Schizosaccharomyces pombe: one gene and its partner. Changing the gene in region 1 together with any one later gene gives a genetic interaction. Each region holds a gene or a part of one and is shown in the gene's direction. Other genes may lie near its edges.

Region 1 (5,254 bases):
TATGATCGTTACGTCTGCTCCAGTAAGGTAAACACTTTAAAGTCATGAGGAAAAACGTCTAACCGAGTATCTACAGACATATGTGTGGTGCAGCTTTGTAAGGTTTTTTTTGGTAACACGAATTAACAATTTGAAGCTATGAATACCACCAGGATCCAAATTTGTAAGATTTCAAAATTGATATCGCTAACGTTGTAGTTATTATTTAACTGGTAATCGAAAGAATTAATTTTAGTTTCATTTTTTAACTTTGAATAAAGGTTGCTTGGAACCAAATGCTGTACTATTAATGTGTAAGTACAACTCAACAACAAATCGATGTTAACAATTTCCAAGTTAAAAATGGAGCAAGTGGAAGTTATGACTGTTCTCTTTATCTCCCATCGAAGAATCCATACATAGAGAAATGGGAAGGACTTCGAACAGGTTCAACACTTGGGAAAAAATTATTTCAAATAGAAAATGTAAGCCGAACATATTGTTATTAAGGTATTAATTATTAGGTTTATGATTCTAGTCTAGCTTCCTCGGTTATAAACGCTCTAGGAAAAAAGTCGAATAGGATTTTTTATAATTACCAAACCGGATACCTCTCAAAAATGCCAGCTGCATCCGCTCCTGAATTCATACAAGATACGCTTACTAAACTCTTTAGAACCTCAACCCAAAGGTCGGTAGATGAACTTCTTCATCCGCTTAGGAGCATTAAAAGTACGGCTGAATTGGAGTGCATGAAAGAAGCAGCCAATATAAGTTCAAATGTTTACAGGGAAATTATGCGGAAAAGATTTGAGAAAGAAGCTGAAATGTCCGCGGAATTCAATTATCGGTTTTGTATTGGAGGCTGTGATAGATCCGCATATGTGCCTGTAGTAGCAGGTGGAAAAGTAAGTAATCAATTCCTGAAAATGCTGAATGCTATTACTTTAAGCTTTATTAACAAAGAAGAATGGCTTGACTATCCATTACACAATTAATAATGATATATTCCGTCCTGACGAAATGGTTTTGGTAGACGCTGGCGGTGTAAGTGCCTTCAATTTTTTGTCAATTAACACTTGCTTAACAGGAATTCGGTGGTTATGTAACAGATATCTCGAGGACTTGGCCCATCAACGGCAAATTTAGTACTGTACAAAGGGATTTATATCAAGCAGTTCTGAATGTGCAAAAGAAATGTATTAAGTATTGTTGCACCAGTAATGGCTGGAGCTTGGCTGATATTCACTTTGAAAGTGTTAAATTAATGCATGAAGAATTGAAGCAGGTCGGCATTCATGGAACTAAACGGGTAAGTTTGCTACTTCGCAAAATATTCGTACTAACTTCCTTGGCTATAGGAGATTACAGATATATTGTATCCGCATTCAATTGGGCATGAGATTGGACTAGAGATTCACGATTGTTCTACGAATAATGGTTACCAACCGTTGCGCAAAAACCAAGTTGTAAGTTGAAGTTCTTTTCAGATTATTTGCTAAACGGGGTTTAGATTACCATAGAACCCGGACTATATGTTCCAGAAGAAGACGGATGGCCTCAATGGGCTCAAGGAATAGCTATTCGAATTGAAGATAGCGTAATCGTTGGTGATGACAAGCCGTTCGTATTAACTAGTGCTGCTCCAAAAGAAATTGAAGAAATTGAAGCTTTGAAAAAGTAGAGATTGTGTTACCTATTGACTAAGAATTAGGACTACATCTGACTATCGTAGAATAAAAGACATTATTTTTGGACTAAGTTTCTTAGAAGTAAGATTGAAGGGAAAAAAATCTATATATACTGTTAAATTTTAATCATTACACGAATTTTTTTTTAATATTTTATTGAAAAGTCAACGTCAAAAATAAACATTAGTTTAGAGAAACAAGAAACGTTTTCAAAATAGTTCTGGCATTCGAAGTGTATGATTCCTCTGACTTCGACAGTATTTGCTCAATTCCTTGAAGACTTGACTCGATTTCCACTTTTCAGGTGCTTCCCTTTCTCCTGAACACCAGTATAGACTAAAAATTGGACGTTAAAATAGCGCACATTAAGTATATCAAGTTCATTTACTTACATATCCCAATCGGGCTCATCTAATAATTGATCATACTCTCGCAGAAGAGATACTGGATATTTATCAATCTGATCTTTGGCGAAATTAGATAAAAGCAAATCCGTTTCCAATATTCCCCGTTTTCTAGATTGATATTTAAGTCTTGCCAACATTGCGTCTCTAGTCTCGTAAGAGCGATTCACCCTTTTTAAATCACCTTTGGTATGCTCGAAGCGAAGTTGAGGCATTCTATTCATACATCTTGCACTTCTTAGAAGCGTCGTGATATTAGATAAGTTTGTCTTCCTTAACATTGTTGATATTTTCAAATGAACAACTAAGCGATTAACCAGACGACCTCCGAGGCTATATTTACTTATATATGAATAAAAAGAAAAAAAAATTAGGTTATAGCTCCTTTTTTTGGAAGATTTGGTAGACTATACAACTCTTTGGTGATAGTTTTGCGGCATTGTCTTCACCATCCGTATTCGTTTCTTACCATTCACCATTGTCCGCACCACATTATAGAAATTTCGAAAGATGGAAAAGGAGGCAATTTACAAACTCATTAGAGAATCTCCTCCAGGAGAAGTTAATCAAGTAGTTCATGGTTTGTTAAAGTGCTGAATACCTCAACATTCTAATGCATATAATAGATATACGCGACATCGGTCTAAGTGATGAGGAAGCAATTCACGAACAACTGAAGCTTTATCATGAAGACTACAACTCTTCTGTCAGCATATCGGATGACGAAAAAGTAATTATTTCAGCTGATAATCGTCTAGAGGGCAATCGCTATTATGATCAAGTTTTACAGAAATCATTTACCATTAATTATGAAACTATGGTAAGGTTAAATTTTTCAAATCTTTTTTTTGTGATAATTGTTAAATAGCTAACAGTATTCATAGGAAGCTGAAAACGTTGAAGATTATACCGAAGCCATAAAAATTCCCGATGAAATAGTAAAGCAAATTAAAAAGGTTGCTTCGGATCACTATCTATCTGATGTAACATTTGGAATCATCAAAAAAAGCGATGAAGTGGAATCGTTTACAATTGTTTTGGTTTCTTCAAAGTATAATCCCAAGAACTATTGGAACGGTTCGTGGCGCTGTATATGCAATTACAACGTTTCGGAAAAGAAACTGGAAGGCAGGTCGCATATTCGTGTTCATTACTATGAAGACGGAAATGTTTGGTTGGATGCATCCCGTCCTATTTCTGCTACAGTCGAGGAGACCAGTAAGCTTTATGAAGTGTTGGCTCAAGTCGAAAATGGAATTCAACAGTCCTTCAACGTTGAACTTTCTTCACTTAATGACAAAAAGTTTAAAGAATTGCGTCGTCAACTTCCAGTCACTCGCCAGAAAATTAATTGGGAAAACGTTAGTGGCATCCGTATGAGAAATACTTGAAACACTTATATGTGTTTATAAATTTTGGAAATTTTTTTGCGACGATATTTTTTAAGACGGTGATTCAAGCTGTTTCCTTTTCCTTCTTCCTAAATACATATACATTGTCGCTCGATATACGACTAATAATTACTAGTCGTTTACTTTCTAAAACTTTACAAGAGCAACTCACACGCTCTTTTCTTAAACTCTTATAAGTTTTAGGAAATTATTTTTTTACGATCAATAATACAAGTTCTTCATCATTTTTTTACCGCTCGTCACCAGTAATTTAAGGGCGTATTACTTTTTGTGTGTAAGCATCAGTCGTGCTATTTATCACCAGAATATGCTCTGAGCATCTGACTTTCACCTCTGACTTTGTGATAATATAAATAAATAATGAGGCATTATTAAATCACAAATCTTGTATCTCTAATTAACATTGATTTCATGGTTCAAGCAGCAATTAAAGCTTGAACTTGTGTAGACAGTTTGAGATAATATCACTTCTAAAATTAAACCCAAAAGTAGGTATTCCAACTAACTTATCGTTTTCTTCCGACAAGACTGGAATAGTAAACCTGATATGGCCCGGAACTTGTATACAAAATTTAAGAAACTCTTCCTTACTCAAAAATCCCTTCAATGAATTTAGATCTTTGGAAAGCAACGGTCTAAGTATAAGTGTAGTCTGTGTATTTTTGCAACTGTACTTTATCCAAAACCTGTGATCCCATAAAACATAACGATCAGGATTTATGGTTATAGTTTTTTTTTTCAATTCAGCTTTACTAAATGGTTGTCTGGAAATTTGGAGTTGTAATTTAGTGTCGTCCTTTATAGAAGAGGAAGTGAGTAGACATTTAGCAATTGTTAGCTTTTTTCCATCAAAAACTGAATTACAAAGGCTTACAACAGAAGATCGTTTAATCTGTCTGCAACTTGTAGTCAATGTTAGACACCTTAAGAGCAATTCTTCCTTAGTAAGATTAGAGTGCTTTTTGAGCTCATTTTTTGAAAAGCATAAAGATAATGTACCAGATGGCTGATGGTAGCTCACAATATTATCTTTTAGTATTTCATCAACTTTATTATCTATGTTCACCTGTAAGGACTGAAACGCGGTAGCTAGTTTTGTAGCCTCTACGGTCAATGCGGCATGTTGGTTTAGAAATCTTCGTATTGCATTTCGAGGGGTGAGATTTATATCAGCATTTGTTGGATCCTCTTCCCAAGCAATTCCATGTTGTTTTGCGGTATTTAATATTTGGTTCTTCAATTCATAGGTTAGCATAAAAGTTTAATCCACAATGCGAATTTAATTTATATTACCTTATAATATGGAAGTAATGGGCGTAACAGTTCTATATTTGAAGCCCCACAAATTGAGTCAGATTCTGGTATCTGCGATACTGGTTTCATTGCACACAATCCACCCCATGTTCCGGGTTTACGTCTTAGCAATCTCATAAATATGGTTTCTGCTTGATCATTGGCATGATGTGCTGTGCAAATATGCCTGATATTGTGTGTAATACAAGCTCTAGTCAAAACTTGATATCGATGCTCTCGAGCTATTGTCTCAAGGTTTGTTAAAGAGTGAACATCATCATTACCCCAATTGATGTTGAGATAAACATTTGGTATTAACATACGATTCAAATTCCAGATTGTTTGTAAAGCCTCTTCAGTGCTATTCTTACGAATTCGATGATCAACCACAAAGGCAATAAATTGATTAGGCCATCCAAACATAATTTGCGATTCCTTCATGAACCAAGAAAGTAGCATGCTGTCCACTCCCCCA
Region 2 (2,873 bases), 240 kb from region 1:
CAATTACTACATTTATCGACATGTTCGGTCCTTTGATGAGCGTTGCAATAATAACCGCTTTTGTCTGTACCTTTGTTTTGTACACTGGAACTTTGCTTTTTGGTGATCGACTTTTTGATAAACCTCATCGGTTATCTGGAAATCCCATCTACGATGCCTTTATGGGAGCTTGCTTGAATCCTCGCCTTGGCAAATTGCTTGATTTTAAAATGTTCTTTGAAGTTCGTATCCCTTGGTTTATCCTATTCTTTATTTCCGTTGGTGCTGCTGTTCGTCAATATGAAACTTATGGCACTGTAAGTCCTCAGGTACTTTTCGTTTGTCTTGGCCATTATTTGTATGCAAACGCGTGCTCGAAGGGAGAGCAGTTGATTGTTCCAACTTGGGACATGGCTTATGAAAAGTTTGGTTTTATGCTTATCTTTTGGAACATGGCTGGGGTCCCATTTACTTATTCACACTGCACCCTTTACCTTTTTTCGCATGATCCATCTGTTTACAACTGGTCAACTCAATATACAACCGGTATTTATGTTTTGCTTCTTTGCTGTTATTATATATTTGATACTTGCAATGGTCAAAAAAATCATTTCCGTAATCAAATTTATGGTACTGAGGTTCATCGCAAAACATTTCCCCAACTTCCCTGGCTTATCATCAAGAACCCTACCTTTATTCGTTGTGCAAATGGCGGTACTTTGTTGACTTCAGGTTGGTATAGGTACGCTCGTAAAATTCATTATACTGCTGATTTCTTTCAATCATTGTCATGGGCATTGATCACCGGTTTTCAGTCCCCTCTACCTTACTTTTACCCATGCTTTTTCTTTGTAGTCCTTGTGCATCGTGTTTCACGTGATATTAAAAAGTGCAAAGCTAAGTATGGGGCTGATTTCGATGAGTATTGCCGTATATGCCCTTACTTATTTATTCCCTATATATTTTAGAAATGTCTTTTTAGTCCCTTCTTTACTTAATAAATTGGCTATTCAAAATTCCACTTGAAGTGTTTTTCTACTTTAAAATTCAGTTAATTTTTGTGAAAGTTCTCAAATTTGATTGAGTAGCTGGAACATTCCTTAAGTTATGAACGAACAAAGTAAGCAGCTCTGACCGTTTTTTATACAATCTATTTCTAGACTTAAAAATTATTAACTTCCAAGTCTTTTTGCATAAAGATTTTTGGAAATAGCGTAAGGAATAGCTAATAAATAGTAACAATCATCTTGTTTCTTCATAGCGATCCATTTACAGTTAAATTTTTTTTTGCATTAGTTCACTCACTTGCTAGATATATAAATTAGTGTGGAATATTTAGGCGGTAGTGCATACGCATAACCATTTGCTATTATTTTTTTGTAGAACTGTATGTTTTTTCGCTTATATTTAATAAGGGTCATGCAACATAATAATAAGAAATTATAGACTCTGCTTGTTTAGAGTAGTGCGCCACCCTTACTTGGGGCGACGGTATCTACTGATGCGAGTAGCCCTCCCCTAACCAAACCAGTGCCAACCACACTAGCTTACCCGCTATCAGTAAATAAATAATATGGTATGAAATATTTTTGTTAACTTTACATCGTGTTTATTTAACATACATTAGTCTTTTTCAGGTGTCAAAGTCTCTCCCGAATGCTTGGAAGCTTTCCAAGAGCTCAAGCTTGGAAAGTCACTCCGTTACGTAGTTTTCAAAATGAACGATACCAAGAGTAAGTGACGAAAACGATTTAGATGGAATTTGAGAAAGTCCAATATCCCTTTTTTTAAAAATAAATTTATTTATCTACATTGATATATATTTTATGTTTGTAATGTCTTTCTATGTCGTTTTTATAATTATGTGGAACCTTTCACTAATTTTTTTTTGTTTAGCTGAAATTGTTGTTGAAAAGAAGAGTACGGATAAGGACTTCGATACTTTCCTTGGTGACTTGCCTGAAAAGGATTGCCGTTATGCTATCTATGATTTTGAGTTCAATCTCGGAGAAGGTGTTCGTAACAAGATTATCTTTATTAGCTGGTCTCCTGATGTTGCTCCCATTAAATCTAAGATGGTTTACTCTTCTTCTAAAGATACTTTACGTCGCGCTTTTACTGGAATCGGTACTGACATCCAAGCAACTGATTTCTCCGAAGTTGCTTATGAGACAGTTCTTGAGAAGGTTACTCGTAAGTAAAACACTTTTGGTTACGATTTCTTGACTCATGCGTAATACGAAATGAAATTAAATAACTTCGTTTCGGTATGCAAACCGATCCTTCAACGCTCCTTAAATATCTTTTTCTATATATTTAGAACTATAAATACAAAGATTTAAGTGTACGTTGGTTTCCTGTTGATATTTAATTTGTCAATAGTATATCTACTTTAAAAAATTTGTCATGTGATAACGGATGAGTCGGTATATGAAAAACACTGCAAGTTATTTGCCAATGTAATTGACAAGCAATCATAGAGAAATTAGTTCTACGCAGTTTCCACCACTAGCTGAAATGTTTGAGTGCCTGGGTGCTTGCAGGTTTTTATTCATCTACTTCAAGTATGGTATAGTAAGTAAGCTTAGTTTTATTTTCTCAGTTCCGACTTTTTAATTCTGTAGATTTCATCTACCACTATTTAGTCATTGAAATTGTTACAAATATTCCTCTATATATAATGATTCTGCATTCCTAAAAATGCTAATTAACAAATTACGAAATCCAACGATCTACAAAGTAATGCCATTCCATATTAATATAACAATTGCTGTTCATTCGCTATCATTTTAAAATGATGTTTTCATTAGTTTGCTCATTGATCACATAGCATGTATTTTACCAGCTATTTTCAACGTACTAGTCTACTTGATCTGTTATTGATCAAATGTAAG

What was found. Genes that interact genetically often act in the same process or in processes that back each other up.
Region 2: mutations in acp1 (region 1) and adf1 are lethal when combined (synthetic lethality), as found in Schizosaccharomyces pombe (2 studies listed by BioGRID).

What each region holds. Positions count from the first base shown.
Region 1 is NC_003424.3:4,582,671-4,587,924, forward strand, and holds acp1 (F-actin-capping protein alpha subunit), read left to right. Parts: upstream 1-2,544; 5' UTR 2,545-2,584; coding exon 2,585-2,654; intron 2,655-2,700; coding exon 2,701-2,894; intron 2,895-2,958; coding exon 2,959-3,465; 3' UTR 3,466-3,866; downstream 3,867-5,254. Other genes in the region: peptidase Icp55, read left to right, coding at 1-27, 77-97, 137-163, 199-212, 261-293, 337-464, 504-887, 949-1,026 and 3 more; succinate dehydrogenase subunit Emi5, read right to left, coding at 1,880-2,006, 2,063-2,355; til1 (tRNA(Ile)-lysidine synthetase family protein), read right to left, coding at 3,914-4,720, 4,780-5,254. UniProt on the Schizosaccharomyces pombe protein: F-actin-capping proteins bind in a Ca(2+)-independent manner to the fast growing ends of actin filaments (barbed end) thereby blocking the exchange of subunits at these ends.
Region 2 is NC_003424.3:4,824,757-4,827,629, reverse strand, and holds adf1 (cofilin), read left to right. Parts: upstream 1-1,503; 5' UTR 1,504-1,552; coding exon 1,553-1,555; intron 1,556-1,606; coding exon 1,607-1,712; intron 1,713-1,875; coding exon 1,876-2,180; 3' UTR 2,181-2,373; downstream 2,374-2,873. Other genes in the region: C-24(28) sterol reductase Erg4, read left to right, coding at 1-947. UniProt on the Schizosaccharomyces pombe protein: Controls reversibly actin polymerization and depolymerization in a pH-sensitive manner. It has the ability to bind G- and F-actin in a 1:1 ratio of cofilin to actin. Binding to F-actin is regulated by tropomyosin.